2 linked regions of the Pelodiscus sinensis genome follow. The protein of the gene in region 1 interacts with the protein of each later gene in a pairwise test. Links are inferred from orthologs where the notes say so. Each region holds a gene or a part of one and is shown on either strand. Other genes may lie near its edges.

Evidence for each region.
Region 2: the proteins of MTFR1L (region 1) and ARMC1 interact in binary tests that used the Homo sapiens proteins (3 or more experiments, as listed by UniProt). The two-hybrid records come from large-scale screens. The link is inferred for Pelodiscus sinensis from reciprocal best matches to the Homo sapiens genes MTFR1L and ARMC1.

Annotation. Positions count from the first base shown.
Region 1 is NC_134735.1:1,493,514-1,501,370, forward strand, and holds the start of MTFR1L (mitochondrial fission regulator 1-like), read left to right. Parts: upstream 1-4,834; 5' UTR 4,835-4,928; intron 4,929-6,312; exon of another isoform or gene 6,313-6,409; intron 6,410-6,434; exon of another isoform or gene 6,435-6,511; intron 6,512-6,975; exon of another isoform or gene 6,976-7,000; intron 7,001-7,026; exon of another isoform or gene 7,027-7,857. UniProt on the Homo sapiens protein: Mitochondrial protein required for adaptation of miochondrial dynamics to metabolic changes. Regulates mitochondrial morphology at steady state and mediates AMPK-dependent stress-induced mitochondrial fragmentation via the control of OPA1 levels.
Region 2 is NC_134712.1:58,843,781-58,851,287, reverse strand, and holds the start of ARMC1 (armadillo repeat-containing protein 1), read right to left. Parts: upstream 3,003-7,507; 5' UTR 2,776-3,002; coding exon 2,735-2,775; intron 2,729-2,734; exon of another isoform or gene 2,581-2,728; intron 544-2,580; coding exon 354-543; intron 1-353.

The DNA.
Region 1 (7,857 bases):
ATGATGATCTGTGTTGTCTTATTATCTAACCCTTTCCTAATGGTCTCGAACATTCTACTTGCTTTTTTGAGTGCTGCTTTACATTGGGCGGATGGTTTCAAAGAATTAGACTTGATGGCTTCAAGATCTCTCTTGAGCGGTAACGGCTAATTTAGATCCCATGGTTGTGTGTGCACAGTTAGCATTGTTTTCAAAATGTGCATTTATCAACACTGAATTTAATCTGCCATTTTGTTGTTCAGTCACCCAGTTTTGTGAGATCCCTTTGCAACTCTTCAGTCTGCTTTGGACTTACCTCTTGTGAGCAGTTTTGTGTTCTCTGTAGACTTTGCCACTTCACTGTTTCCCCGCTTTTCCAGATCACAGCACTGGTCCCATTACAGGTTCCTGGGGGTGCGTCTACATAGCACCCGAAACTCGAAATAAGGGACGCAAATTGCGTAGCTCATTTTGTCATTTGGTGCTGTCTACACAATGCCAAATTTCGACATACAGTGCTATTTCGAGCCACCCCTTACTCCTCGTACGATGAGGTTTACAGGGATGGTGAAATAGCGCGTCCGCTTTATTTTGAAACAGCAGACACGTTCAAAAGACCTCTGGTATCCCGAAATAACTTTGCTGTGTAGACATACCTTGGGAGACCCCAGTTTTTACCTCTCTCCATTCTGAAAACTGACTTTTTATTCCTACCCTTTGTTTCCTGTCTTTTAACCAGTTACCAATCCACAAGATGGCCTTCCCTCTTTACCCATGACTGGTTGGCTTTCTTAAGAGCCTTTGGTGACGGACCTCATCAAAAGCTTTCCCAAAGTCCAAGAACACTATATTCACTAGATCGTGCTTATCCATATGTTTGTTATCCCCTCGGAGAAGTCTGATAGATTGGCGAGGCATGATTTGCCTTTACAAAAGCCATGTTGATTCTTCCCAACAAATTGTGTTCATCTGTGTGTGTGAACATTTTAAAATAGTATCACTGCATTGCAGTCGTCATAAACAATTACTTTTGTGGCAGCTGGATTTTAGTGCACATTCCTGTTGGTAGGTCAGAAGAGACGGAGCATCAGTGGTAAACAATTAAAAGCAATCAATTGCTGCTGGCAAACAACAGGGCTGTTGTCCCCTTTTCTGCTCTCTGAAGCACATTTTAGTTCAAATCACACTCCAGGGACCAAATACAAAACCCGCCCCCAACGCCCTGAACTGTTTGAGTCTCTCGTTTTCCTTCCTTCGCGGAGTGTGTAATCCATGACAAAAAGCTCCTCTTGCTTACCCGGGAGATGTCTCCCTGTATCAGCTTTCTAACTGTTGTGTGGGCTCCTGCTAGCATCTCGAAACTCTGGACGTGCATTACAGACTCCGGCTTGGCAGCATCTTTGCTGGCGGTTGTGACGGTAAGCCCTGTCCGCTGTGTAAACGGCATCGTCTGACCAAGAAGAACTGTGACCACAGTGCAGCTGGCTTAGCCCCCACTTCCTCCCCCCGTGTTAAAGGGAGTCTGCTGGCTCAGGCTGCAGTTTTTTTTCACTTAGCACCCTTTGGAAATCCTGGGCTTAGCCTAGACCCAGCCTTTGGGGAGTTTCAAAACTTGATGTAATTAAAAGCACTTTAATCAGGGGCATTAACGGTCCAACCATCCCTTGGATAAATTAGGGCTGTGAATGTTTAGCCATAATGGGTGTGGGCTATGGTTAATCAGTGGGGGCTGGAGGAGCCCCCCCCCCCAGGCTCCAGGCATGCTGTGGGCAGGGATGCACAAGCCCAGATGGAACAGCCCCCATCTGTGGTGGTTGGGGGGGGACACTCCAGCACAGCCTCCCCCCTGCTCGCCCGGTTTAATTGGTCAGCCAGTTAAACATAACGTTTAACCAGTTAACTGATTAAACAGGATTTGACATCCCTAGTGTAGATATCTTTAGGCTGAGGAAGGAGATCAGATCAGATGCTCTTCCCTCTGTCCAGCTTTGCAATTACAGAATCGAAATGCAGGGTTCCCGAGGAAAGGCTAGAGACTTTTCTATTTCTCCAGGCATGAAAATAGTGCGATTAAAACATACATTTTCCAGGGTCCTGTCTCCATTAGAGTCTCCTCATGGCTGTAGCGTTAAATCCGTGAGAAGTGCTATGTACTGTAGAAGCTGTAAAAACCATTTTCATATTTAGCTAAAAGCCATCTTGTATATCAGAAACCATTTCAGCTTTTCTCTCAAGCACGTAAACCAAAGTAAACTTTCTGTCACCCCGTAAAAAAAGGCCTACAGAATGGGCTATTGATATGTGTTAATTGGGCTGGTTGGAACAGAAAATGTACTCCCTCGCACCTGTCCGCCATCTTGTTGATAAGGCTTTGTTTTTCCAAATTTAATTAAAAATTTCTGTAATTGGATGCCCTAACGTCAAACTGTTTGGTTAAGGGTATAAAAATACTAAAATTAATTGTATTAGTAGCTTTACTGGGTCTGGCTCTGCTGTAACCACGTTTGGCTCATGCTGTGCTTTATTAATTAATAAAGCTGCTTGTTAGCTGCCTAAACACAAAGAAGCGTGTTTTTGCTTCAACAGTACTCTTATTCGGAATCTCCTAAGTTCATAGTTTACTGGCTGAGCTGCATCAGCTGGTGCTAAAGACCATGCCAATGGGAATGTCTCACCACAGTAGTACGATACAACTGGTGAAAGCATTTCCCTCGCTGTTGTGCTAAAGCACATCAGTCACCACAGCAGGATAACCAGAATTCACCAGGAAGCAGTGTTGAGAACTTTGGGATACATTCACAAAGGCCAAAGTGCCGCATTCACGTGGCTGCAGGGTAAAACCTTCCACTAGTACAACACTGAGGCTACGTCTACACTGGCGTGATCGTGCGCAAAAACTCTTTAGCGCAAGAGTTCTTGTGTTAAAGTAGTTGTGTAAGAGAGAGTCTACACTGGCATGTGCTTTTGCGCAAGAGCATCCTTGTCAGTGTAGACGCTCTCTTGCGCAAGAGAGCTCTGACGGCCATTTAACCATAGGACATTCTTGCGCAAGAAATTCATGTTGCCTGTTTACACTAGCCTCTCGCACAAGAACAGTTGCGGAAAATGGCTTATTCCTGAGCGGCAGCGGCAGAGTTCTGACGCAAGAAGCCCTGATTTCATACATTAGAACATCAGTTTACTTGCGCAAGAACACATGGACGGTGTAGACAGGCAGCAAGTTTTTATGCAAGAGCGGCTGCTTTTGCACAAGATCGCGCCAGTGTAGACACAGCCTCATGAGTGTGTCTAGACTTAATGGGAATTAGAACGGTCGGGTTGACGCTGATTAATATGACACCAATGGTTCTCTAAGGCAGATAGTGCCTAAGACATTTCCAAATTAGTTTCAAAACCCAGACCTATGTTGTGTTATCCATAACATTGTCCAAACTGGCTACATTTTCCTCTTGCAACACTGAAACAGGCATTTCTCCTACCTAAATTGGAATCAACTAATTAGAAATTAAGCATGGTGGGAAGAATTCTTGTTGCTCCAAAAATTAGCAGTATACTCCAGCTCAGAAGCTATTGTATGAATCTCAAAGAGTCTAATTCCAGTATTAATCTTGTAACGGTAATGCTGCCTAAAAGAACAAATTGCTATTTTTACTTGTGTAATCATCTATCTAATTTTGAGAGGTGGACTCTGAACAAAAGCAGGGTCTTACACTTTTTCAATATGTGCCATTTTTCATATTTTTACTACATACTTCCTAAGCTTTTATAGGTGGTTTTGCTATATCTACAGAGGATGAAGTAGAAGCATTTTTTTCCCTGATCATCTGTGCTTTGTGACGGTCTGATCTTAAATTGCAAATGGGTCAGGGCTGATTTCTGACAGTATTTCAGGAAAAAAAAGTATTTCATTTCTTCCCCCTCTGGGAGTTTTTTTAATCAGTTTGTGTAAAATTTATTTTCGCCTAGTACTCTTGCCTAGAGACAATTCACATTTAGAGGTGAATGTTCTCAAATAGTGTATTTTTTACAAAGTAAATGTTTCAGTTCTAATGTGTGTGTAACTAATTTTAAAAAGTTGTAGTCAGACTATGCTGGACAGTTTCTGTAGCTGCATTTGAGAGATCTCAAGGATTACTTAGTCATTGATTATCTATTTAGTGTGGTGGAGAGAAGAAATACTCTGTTGGGTAATACCAGCCAGTCTATAAATCAGGTACATACCTTGTCTTAACCATTGACACTCTTCTCCATTATGTGTTCCCTAGACTTTACTGGTGTTACTGGTAATAAGCTAATACACAGACAGAGGTCAGTGTGGAAAATTGTATGCACAAAACACCCTAAATCCTCATTCTTTCTAAAATGGCTTTACATATTTAAATACCTGATTATGGCTTTGTTACTAGCCATACCTACAGAAAAAGCATTACATTAGGCATTAGCTCAGTGTTCTGGGTGAGCTTTCTAGGTAATCTTTGTGAGAAATGTTCTCAATTTTACCAGCTGTACCAGCTTAGTTCACTTTTTTCCTGTAATAAAAATCTGGAAAATACATGCTTGTCATTTTGAGATGTTTGCTGTTTGACTGAATCAGCAGGTTTGAAACGGCTGGGCGCACACAGAAGAGTAGCTGGCATAGTTATGAGGGAAGGGGCATCAGCACTATTAATGGCTGAGGGCCGGTGTTTTGAGCCAGAGCCAACACAAAGGTCCACCCTCCTGTATATCACAGAGCTTCAGATCCATTTGGGTTTTTTTCTTCTCAGGCAAAACGCCCTTGGCTGCAGTGCAATACCTCCAGCAGAATGTTGCTGTCAACACTGAAGGTCACCATGACTATTAGAAGGAACTAATGATGTTCTGGAATTGACAAAAATCCTAGAACCAAGGCCATTTTTGAGGAGACTGACTCTCCTGTGGTCTGGGCATGGGCAGACTCAAATGTCAAGGTATTTTAACGTTTGACTGGCTAAGGCTAAATAGGCTTTATGCAACAGAGGTGGGATTGGAGTTGAGATATGCTGACTCCTGGCCCCTTCCTGCTGGGGCAACCAGCATGGTTGTGTTATGTTTCTGCCAGTGGCTCTAGTCCCTTCTTTAGCAATTGGCCTATGTCCAAAGCTTCACTGTAAAAGCAGGAAGAAACTGAGGTAGGCAGGGCAAGTTACAAATGAAACGTGCATGACTCCTCTCCTATAATGTTTTCAGGACTGGCCTAGTGGGGATGAGGGACATTCTGAAAGGCTGTGTTTAGTGACCATCAAACCCCTGACTGCATAGCACCACCTACCAAAGTAAAATCACTCTCCTTAAGCTAAATTATCCCAATTACCGGTAGGAACAATCCCTTGCAAAGTGAATAATGCTGCTACATTGCTATTATGTATCCAATTGGCCTTGTGGTCTTTGATTGGAAATCGTTTGCCACACCAATTCCTCCTGCCCCATGGTACTTGGTAGCTCCGGTACAACCGAGAGCCTAGGTAACCCCCAGCATGTGGCATCTGTCTCTGGATGAGGCGGCGGGAGGGATACGTTTTGCATAGCCGAGCGGTGCACCTGCTGCAGGGTGGGGAGCAGCAAGCAGCCTGTGGGGGCTGGATCACACCCCAGCGATGGAGGTAGCTGCGTGTGGCGGGCAGGACGGAGCCTTGCTGATGCCTGTCAAGCCCACAGCACCCTTGACTCCAGTGCGTTGGCTGCTCCCCAGCAGCCCAGCCCTGCACCTCGCTGCTCCTGCCAAGGGCCCAGCAGGAGGGAAGAGTCAGGGGAGACGAGCCCGTGTCCAGGGCTGCCGCCAGCCGCCCATGAAAGGACCAGCCCCGCAGAAACCATCAGTGAAGCCCCCAGTGCCGGCTGGGGCCGGGGCCCGGGGGCCCCAGCGCGGGGGGGGGGGGGGAGAAGAGGCCGGTGGGGGGAAGAGGCCGGGGGGGGGGAGAGGCCCCAGCGCGGGGGGGGGGGAGAAGAGGCCGGGGGGGGGGAGAGGCCGGGGGGGGGAGAGGCCCCAGCGCGGGGGGGGGGGGGGAGAAGAGGCCGTGGGGGGGAGAGTCGGGGGGGGAGAGGCCCCAGCGCGGGGGGGGGAGGAGAGTCCGGAGGGGGGAAAGAGGCCGGGGGGGGGGAAGAGGCCCCAGCGCGGGGGGGGAGAGGTCGTTAGGGGGTGGGGGAGGCCCCCGGCTGCCCCCCCCCGGAGCCGGGCCCAGTCTGTTCCCGGGGGGGGGGGGGCGCTGCCTCGTTCCAAACGCCCCGCGGTCTCGTTCTGACCAGGCCGGGGGGGGGGGCGATGGGGGCCGCGGCTCTTGCTACGGGCCCCGCCCCACGGAGCCACGGCGTGACGTCACCACGCAAGGGGCGCCGCTCACGGGAGGGGCCGGGAGTGGGGTTAGGGCCGTTCTGCTTCCGGGTCAGGCCCCATGGCTGAGCGGAAGCGGTGGTGAGAGGGGCGCTGTGGGGGGAGGGAACTGCCGGGGGGGTCACTCCGGTGCTGCCCCCGCCAGTCTCGCTGGCGGCTTTGGCGACAGAAGAGCCCGGGCAGGTTCTGTCCCCCCCCGCTCCGCGCCGCGCGCTCCCTGCGGGCTGGGCTCCCCCCAGCTTCGGGGGGCCAAGAGCGGATCGGGGCCCCTGCCCTGCTGGGGGGGCTGAGCCAGCGGCGGGGGGGTCCCAGGCGGCCCCCCCCCGGGTGCTTCCCCGCGCTGCGCTGCTCGCGGAACGTGCCCGGCGCGAGGCACAAGGAGCGTCCGACCCGCGTTCGCTTTTGGCGACGTTTGCGGCCCGAACCTTCCCAGCGCGGCATCGCTGGAGAGTCCGGGGGGGGGCCCTGCTAGGAGCATCCCCCCCCCTTTGCCTTTCTGCAAACCTCCCCCCCCCCCTTTGCCTTTCTGCAAACCTCCCCCCCCCCTTTGCCTTTCTGCAAACCTCCCTTCCCCCCCCCCCCCGGGTGGGTTTTGAGCAGAGGGGGCTCCCCGGCAAGCAGGTCTCTGCTATCGGCCTCGTTTTCCAAATGGAGACGCTGAAGCTCTACGAGGTGAAGCCCGTAACCTGGAGGAATGCTTGACGAGCCAGCAATAACGCAGAGGCTTCTTCTCTAACCACTAGGCCACATTCTCTCCCAGAGCTGGGAATAGAATCCGAGAGTCCTGGCTCCTGATTTCACACTGAACCACTTCGCCCCCCACTCGACTCCCTTCCTACTTCATCTTGCCCAGTGCTTTTTAGTTGGAATTAAAGCTAACAAAGACATGCACACTCTAGTTGCCTGTTAATTTTCACGTCACTTCCCCAGGCGTCCCTAGCAGTACAGTGGCCAGTGATTCATTTAATGTTTTTCAAAATAAATCTCTCCACTCAAACCAAAACGGCCCCTAGTCCCACTTGGGACAAGGCTAGGGAAGCCAGATGTGCCTAGCTTTCTCTAATGTGTGTGATCAGAGTTTCTTGCATCACTGTGATTCAGTAGTGGCATGTGAGTGGTTTGTAGTGTTTCTTCAGCCATGGGAAATTTCTCTTCAATTTTGGAAACAGCTGAACTTGTCCTGGAACAATAGATTTGATTATCTGTCCTGAAGCTGTCGCAGCTGAATTTGTTCAATTCCTCTTTGGCTTCTCCCCCATTTCATTATTCTGTGGGCTCCGGACTACATAAACGACCTGTGAGCCAGGGGGCTGTTAGTGGTGGTTCTGTGCATGCTGTAGGCTGAAGAACACTTTGGCTTGCCCATCTCTGTCATGTGTAGTTATTTTTGGTTGACTGAGCTGTGATACTGTTAGCATGTGTCGCTTTGCTGACCTTGGTTCCGTGCAGAGGAGGCTGTCATGGCTTGCTTTCTCTACGCCTGATGTCCTTTGCCCCACTTGTTGCTGTTGAGCACCAGTTTTGTGGAG
Region 2 (7,507 bases), on another chromosome or scaffold:
TCAAGAGTCACTTTTATCATGAACCACAAGGAAAATCTTAAATGAAGTAATGCATACAGTTACGTGTAAAAAACTATATTATAGCTTCCCCCCGCATACCGAAAGTTAAAGGGTTAACTTCTGAAACACACACACACACACACACACACACACACACACACACAGTAAATTAATCTATAATAACTTGTTCTCTGCCCAGGTCCATGAAGTATTTCAAAATGACTGTCGTTATTAATTGCTGAAATGGGTGTGGCAGAAAATTAAGCAGAACAGTGACAATAATTTGACATAAGGCTCACAAAGCAAATAAAAAGCCCACCAATTAAAAAAAAAAAAAAAAGTAGATCACTTACTAGTAATGCTGAATGAACAACTGGAGGATTGGGGTGATCCAAAAACAAAATAAGGCCTGGGAGACATCCCTGATCCTGAACGATGGCTCGTCTATTTAAGGGGTCAGCTGCCAGGTCTCGCAGCTGGTTAACTACTGCTAGTGCATCAGGCTCTTCATTCATAGTGGAGTTCATTTTCTTATGCCAACACCTGTTAAAAAAAATCAATATTAATAACACTTCATTTTAATCAATCTCAGATTAAACTGTAGTCAATATAGAATACAACATTCTGCCTTGTACTTAGAGGCATACGGATAAATGGAATTCACAAAATGAGGGAAATTCACAAAATGTGAAGCTGGAAATTTAAGAGTCTATATAAAGAGAATGACAATTTTTGTTAGCTGTTTGATCTTCATGTACAATGTTTAGGCCTGACAATCTTTACAGAATATACATACACAATAATTGATAAAAGTATTGTCAAATATTGCTCAGATCAATTACAGTCATAGATGACAAACTGGTTTATTAATGATGACGCTGTCTACAGAAACCAGAAACATGTCTCAATTCTGTATTATATCAAAAGTAAATCTGTAAAGAAATATACAGTTCAGGTATCCATAATACATTTTTTAAAGTGAAAGCTTCAACTTTCATATAAATCTCCTCACAAAGCACTCTAGCAAATTGTAAAGGAAAATCATGCCTCAGCAAAAACCATGTTGACTCTTCCCCAATAAATCACATGCATCTATGGTGGTGTCTGAAAATTCTGTTTTTTACTCTAGTTTCAAGCAGTTTTCAGACCAATGTTAGTTTCTGTGTGACAGTAGCTGTCACTAATATTTCCTTCACACAGATTGTTAGAGTGATGAACAGGTATTATTGACCTGCTTCAAGGTTATTCCCCCCCAAGAACACCATAAGATTGGTACAAGTCAAATAAGAAGCTAATATTTCATATAATTAGCATTTTACATTTGCAAAGCACTCTGCACACAATTTTCACAAAATCCCTGTAAACCAGGTAACTATTTTTGTTCCCTTTTTATAGGCACAGATACTTTAATTTACCTTAGACCAGACATCCAGTCAATAACAGACCTAAAGTTGTAACCAGAATGCTTTATGTCCAGTCTCATGCTCAAATCACAAGGTCATTCATTCCCTTTTATTGCATACTACAAAATAATTATTTTATTTAACTAACTTCTGTTGATGACAGAGACAAGCTTTTGAGCATACACCACATTAATTATTTAGGTTTAGAAAACTAAGACCTGAAGGAATGCTCTTTATAAGCTCAAAAGTTTGTTTCTCACCAACAAAAACTGGTCCAATAAAAGACATTACCTCGCCCACTTGGTTTTTTTAAAAATTTACTGGGACCAAGACTACAACAAACCTGTATATGAATAATTCTGTTGTTTTTATACAATGTTTTTCTATTTAAAAAAAGGCAAAGCCATGTTTCTACTTTTTTTATTGAAATAGAAAGAACTTGGGGATTAAGTTAGACAAATTGATTTGACATCAGAACTTCTAGATTATTTTCAAATCTTTGCCACGGATTTTTGAAATCTCAGAAAATAACTTAATCTTGCCTCTGTTTTATTATCTGCAGACATGGATATTACTGATCTCACATAGCAGAATGCATTAGTGTGTGTAAAGTGTTTTAAAATCCTCAGAATGCAGTGTTACTATTATTCATACACATGGAAAAACATCAGCTTCACGAACCCATCTCCTGACACTTCAAAAAAAACCAACCTTGTAGCTGAAAGAATGTAGAAACTAGTAAGGTTGCTGCCGCACATAAACACGCAATTTACAAAAGGAGCAACAGATGACTTAATCCAGAATAACTCGGTTACTTTCTTCCCTCTTTGCTAGCGGGGGGAAATCCCTCCTCTAGGACTTGTACAGTTTGCTCTGGCTAACTCAGCAGCCCCCACCCCCACCGCTCCTCCCCTTAAGTTACAGAGTCTGGACCATGCTGCACCAAGGCCAACCCACCCCCTGCGGCGGTCACTCGCGCACCCCTTCCCGCCTGTAAAGTGCATGCCCGGGTCTCGCCGCTCCCGCCTCCGGCTGCCTCCTGAGCCGGCCCCCTCCGTGGGCAACCCCAATCCCCTCACCCCGCCCCCTCCTCAGCCTGACCCTTGTACCCTCCAGCGGCCTCACCCTCTGTTCAGGACCCGACGCGAGATCCAGCCTGGTCCCCCGGGCCACTTACCGCTGCAGGAAAGTTTCACAGGCCCGGGCGGCTCAGCATCGTGACTGGCCGGGCTTCGCGTCGCTGAGGCCTGGTAACGGGCGTCGGAGGGGGACAATAGGAGGGAAGAAAATTCAGGTCCTCTACACACACAACCCCCACCGGGAGCACCTACCTCACCCCGATTGGCCGAAGCGAACAGCGCCCCTCCGCCATTCACAGCAAACGTTGTTCCACTACACACTGATTGGCCACTCCCACGGCATTGTGGGTAGAACAGCGTCAGGCCAGGGAAACTACACGGTCCAGAATGCCCCGCTTCCTTTGCCTGGCGCGCTCTGGCTGCCTCTGGAGAACAACATAATGGGATGTGTAGTCTCGGAAGGCTTTACTAGGACCACGGCATGTTCTGCGGGGCTGTTTCTTGGCTATTCGAGTCCAGCAGCGCCTTGCACTTTGCTGCCTGTTGTCCAAGCGCCTGGAATATTGTACTGTGGGATCCATAGTCTCTGTGAACTCTGTGAACCTGTAGTCTCCGTCTGCTCAAACCCCTGAGGTTTGACTAAGGCAGTTTGTATAAATGGATTTAATCTAGGCAGGAGTGGATTACTATGGATAACGCTGATGTACTTGAAGGTTGCTACGGTTGCTGAGAATGTAACGCAAGGCCATCTGTGGTACAAGCGGTTCAGTGCAGTCAGCCTTTCTGTATACTGCAGGGTTCTAGAGTGCTTCCACGAAAGTGACTTAATTGTGATCACAGCGGAGTTTTAAACTACAGTAGAAACAACATCCCTAGTTTCATAGAACCAATTCTGACACAAAGAATGCACTGGAAAAATAAACTATACCTGGTAATCTAGAATCGTCTTAGAGATGCAATGTGCAGAATTTACCTAATTTTAAGATCTGTCACTTTGTGGATCTAAGGCAAAATAATTTGATTAAAATTAACAACTAAACTGTCAACTAAACAAACCTATGCCGATGAATATGTGTTTCATTATCAATTTAGATTAACTTTAAAATTTAAATAATTTTACAAATCCTATTTACGTGTTTTGTTTACTTCTGCACTTCTCATACCTTGTACAATGAAGTTTCAAATTTGAAACTGACAAGAAACAATCAGGTCCTTCTCAGCTACAACCATTACAGAGGGATGTTAATTTTTAAACAACAGTTTGCATTTTGTTCTATTTTGGAAACATTTGTATTTTTTAGGTTTTAGAAAAGCTTGTTTTATCAGTATTAAAACTTTAAGCTAAATTTAAATTGACTTTTTAATCCAGTGTTAGCATGTTTCAAATCTTGGAAAGCTGAACACCTCTCCTCTTTTGAGAAAATGAAACCAATTATGTACTTTTGTAGGTGGTCATAATACTTTTATCTTTTTTACATGCTTTCTTGAGACATTAAATTAACAATATTGACATATAAAGTGTCACTGGCATCACCCTAAGTTAATACCCATTGAAAAGAATATGGCAGTCCACACCTCAGGACTTAAGGTGTTCTGCAATATCATATAGATATTTCTTCAATATCCACTTGACATTTTGAAAAAATTCCTTGCAACCCTGATAGTGACTATTCTTTTTAATAAAAGTTGGGATGCTGGACTAGAAAGGGATAGGTGTCTGTACCTCCTTCACTAGTCCTTCTCACTTTCTTCTGCCTCTGTCTCGGTAAGTATTACACTTTGAAAAACATTACTTTATTCATAGCTCAGTATGTTGAATTTAAGAATTCTAGCAATACTATTAAACTGCATTTTTTGTCTGAAGAGTGATGTTTGAACAGGGTAATTTACTAAATAACCAATGAAAGATGAGAGTAGGATAATTTGAAATGACAAATAGGGATGCATTTTTCAATTCAATTCAACTAAAATGGACAAAGAGAGTTGTCAGGGTTTCAGGATGAACTGTAGCTTTGATTCTCCTCCCCCCATCTTCCTCCAGAATACCTACTTAAGGTTTCAGGCTCCATCCAGCTATCATTTATCTCAGGAAAAGACCCACATCTCTCCCCTTTGGTCTGGGGCTTTAGGCTGGCAGTGCTCTACATCTTACTATGATTTCTGAAGCAGTTCTGACCAAGTTCCAGCACCTGTACTTAATCTTTTCTCAGGGGCTTCAACAATGTACACCAGTTACCAGCCAGCCTTTACAAAGCACTTACAGTCAAATCAATTTTGAGAAAACAAAAAAATCAGTAAACTGATTTAAACAAACTAAATATACCAGGAGTTATTAGCCTTATGGGGGCACAGAAGGCCACAATCTTTCCAATCCTTCCCCTGTTCCCCAAGAGTTGCTCCCCTCCCTTGGAAATAATATTTCTTAGAGGAGCTGTCACTCTCCTGCCCTCCAGTTACATAAGAACAAAAACATAAGAACGGCCATACTGGATCAGATCAAAGGTCCATCTAGCTCAGTATCCTGTCGGCCAACAGTGGCCAATATCAGATGCCCCACAGGAAAGGAACACAACAGGTAATCCTCATGTGATCCCTCTCCTGTCGTCCATTTTCCAGACAGAGGCTAGGGACACCATTCCTACCCATCCTGGCTAATAATCTATCTAGGTCTGTTGTCATTACATCATAATAACACAAGAGAGATACTTTGATGGACTTAAACAATTCTCTGATTTTTTAAACAATAAGTATCCTTCTGCCACACTGGAAACCCAAACACAGCAGCACCCAGCGCTGGAGGAGACCCAACGGCATCCCCATCCAGCGGAGGCACAGATCTCACGGGTAGACCCAGGCTGACGTACGCGGCAAGACCCGTGTGTCCGCGGGGAGCTCTGTGCCACCCTCTCTCGGGGTTTGGTTTGCCCCGGCCGCCCGCACCGGACCAGCATGTCAGCAGCCTGGACGATTTCCAATAGGGCCCGCGCGCACGCTGAACGGCCAATCAGGGCTTGCCGGGCCGCGCAGGCGACATCATCACGGGATTGGCCGTTGGCAGGCGCCCTTCAATCACTGGCGCGAACGGGGCGGGGCAGACCCGAGCTGGGCTGCTGCCGGTTAGGCCGCGGCGCTCCGTCCCACTAGTGTGTGGCAGGCTAGGTCCCGCCTCTCTCAGGCGCAGTGCTGATTGGGCAGTACCGGGCCTGTGCGGCTCGGGATTGGCTGTGCGGAGAGGGCGGAGCCTTGAGTCACTGCCCCTGAGGAGCCGGAGACCGGCGAGTGAGCGCTGAGGCCTTGGCTAGGTAGGGGGTGAGTCTGTGCTGGGCGTGGCCAGGTGTCCGCCCGGGGATCTGCTGGGGCCGGTGTGTCTCTCTCCCGGGAGCCTGATGGGCTGAGGCGCGGCGCCGGGAAGCCCCCGCGGAAGATCAGAGCCCGGTGCGGCCGGGTGAGGCGCAAGGGCGGGCAGCTGGGTTCCGAGCTCAGCCTGGTGCCGACCCGCTCCCCTCCCCGCTGTTTCTCCCCTTTCGCCGGGCTCCGCAGCCCGTGTCCTGCCCCCTCCCACGGTCCTTGGCCTGCCGGGGTCCGAGCGGGCTTCCGCCCCCAGCCCCTGGGCGAGCGGCTCCTTCAGGTCTGGCGTCCCCGGGGGAGAGTAAACTCGGAGTTAACGGGGCCTCCACTTCCGTGGCCGAGCGCATTGCCTGGGTGACGGGCGTTCACACGGGACCCTGCCCTTGCCAGTTATTGCTGGTTTCTGCCCGCCGATTGAGACCTTGTGTGAGCCTGGCGGTGTTAGTAACAGCCACGTGCAGCCTCGGGCTGCGCTCTGAAGCCTGCCTCATGTTTGCCTTTCTGATCAGCTGGTCGAGACGACAGAGTAAATATTAACTTCATATGCGGGTCTGTAGAGCCGCTGCTTCAATCATGAAATTGTTGCTCCAGCCAGCCTTAGGATGGATGGTGACCATAGGCGTGATCGGGGATGAATAACGTTTAGTACCGGCATATACGCCAGTTGACTTGTTGAATTCCTGTTGCTTCTTCGCTTACTAGTCTTGCAGCTCTTTTCCTACCCACTTCGCTGATCTCCTGAGCATTGATAGAGAGCCTCTGTGTCACTGTGCAGGTAGAGGTGGGTGCTGTGATCACTTCCAAAGAAGCCTTGCAATCTAAATCAGGTGCAAGTAGGAGATTGTAGGAACAATGAAAGAGTCTATAAGGTGCCACAGGACAACAGATTCATTGGAGCATAAGCTTTTGTGGGCAAAGACCTGCTTCATCAGATGCAAGAGATTGTAGGTAACTTCATATTTAAAACAAAATAACCTTGAGTTAATATCCATGGTTTCTAACGAGTATTTTGAATGAAGGAAGGGAGATAAGAAGAGCTCCAAAGTAGGATGTTGCAGGCTCTGTAATTTTTCCTGTTTGAGAACATCTGGTACCTTGTATGCATATGGCAATGTTGTATTTCCTTTTGGTATAAGTAGGGATGATGCATGATTAGGGATGTAAAAAGCTGTTTGTTTAACTGGTTAAAGGGGGGACAGTTGGTTGGAGGGAGGACTGCTCCAGCCTCATTTCCCTCACTTGCTGAGGCTGGGCTGAAATAACCCCTGCATCCCCCCACCCCACACTCCCTTCCTCCCTCCCTTCTGCAGGCAGTCACTACTCTAGCTTAGCTGGAGCAACCCCAGCCTGTGTGGCACCCAGGCTCTCATAAGAGAGGAGCTGATCCAGATGACCAGAGCAGCTTCTGTGTGCAGCAGATCTCCTGTGGGGCTGGAGCAACCACTGCTGCAGCCCCCACTAGTTAATGGTTAACTGGATCTGGTAAGCATCACCTGTTAAGGATGATAGTTATCAGTTAACCAGTTAACTACCATATGTTAGCAAATATACCCTGCACCCTAATATACCCCCAGGTTTTTGCTATTTGAGTTAAAAAAAAAAAAACTGTATACCCCACGCACGAGTACAGCCTGCAGGAGAGACTGCAGACTTTTTTTAAATTGTTTTTATTCTTTT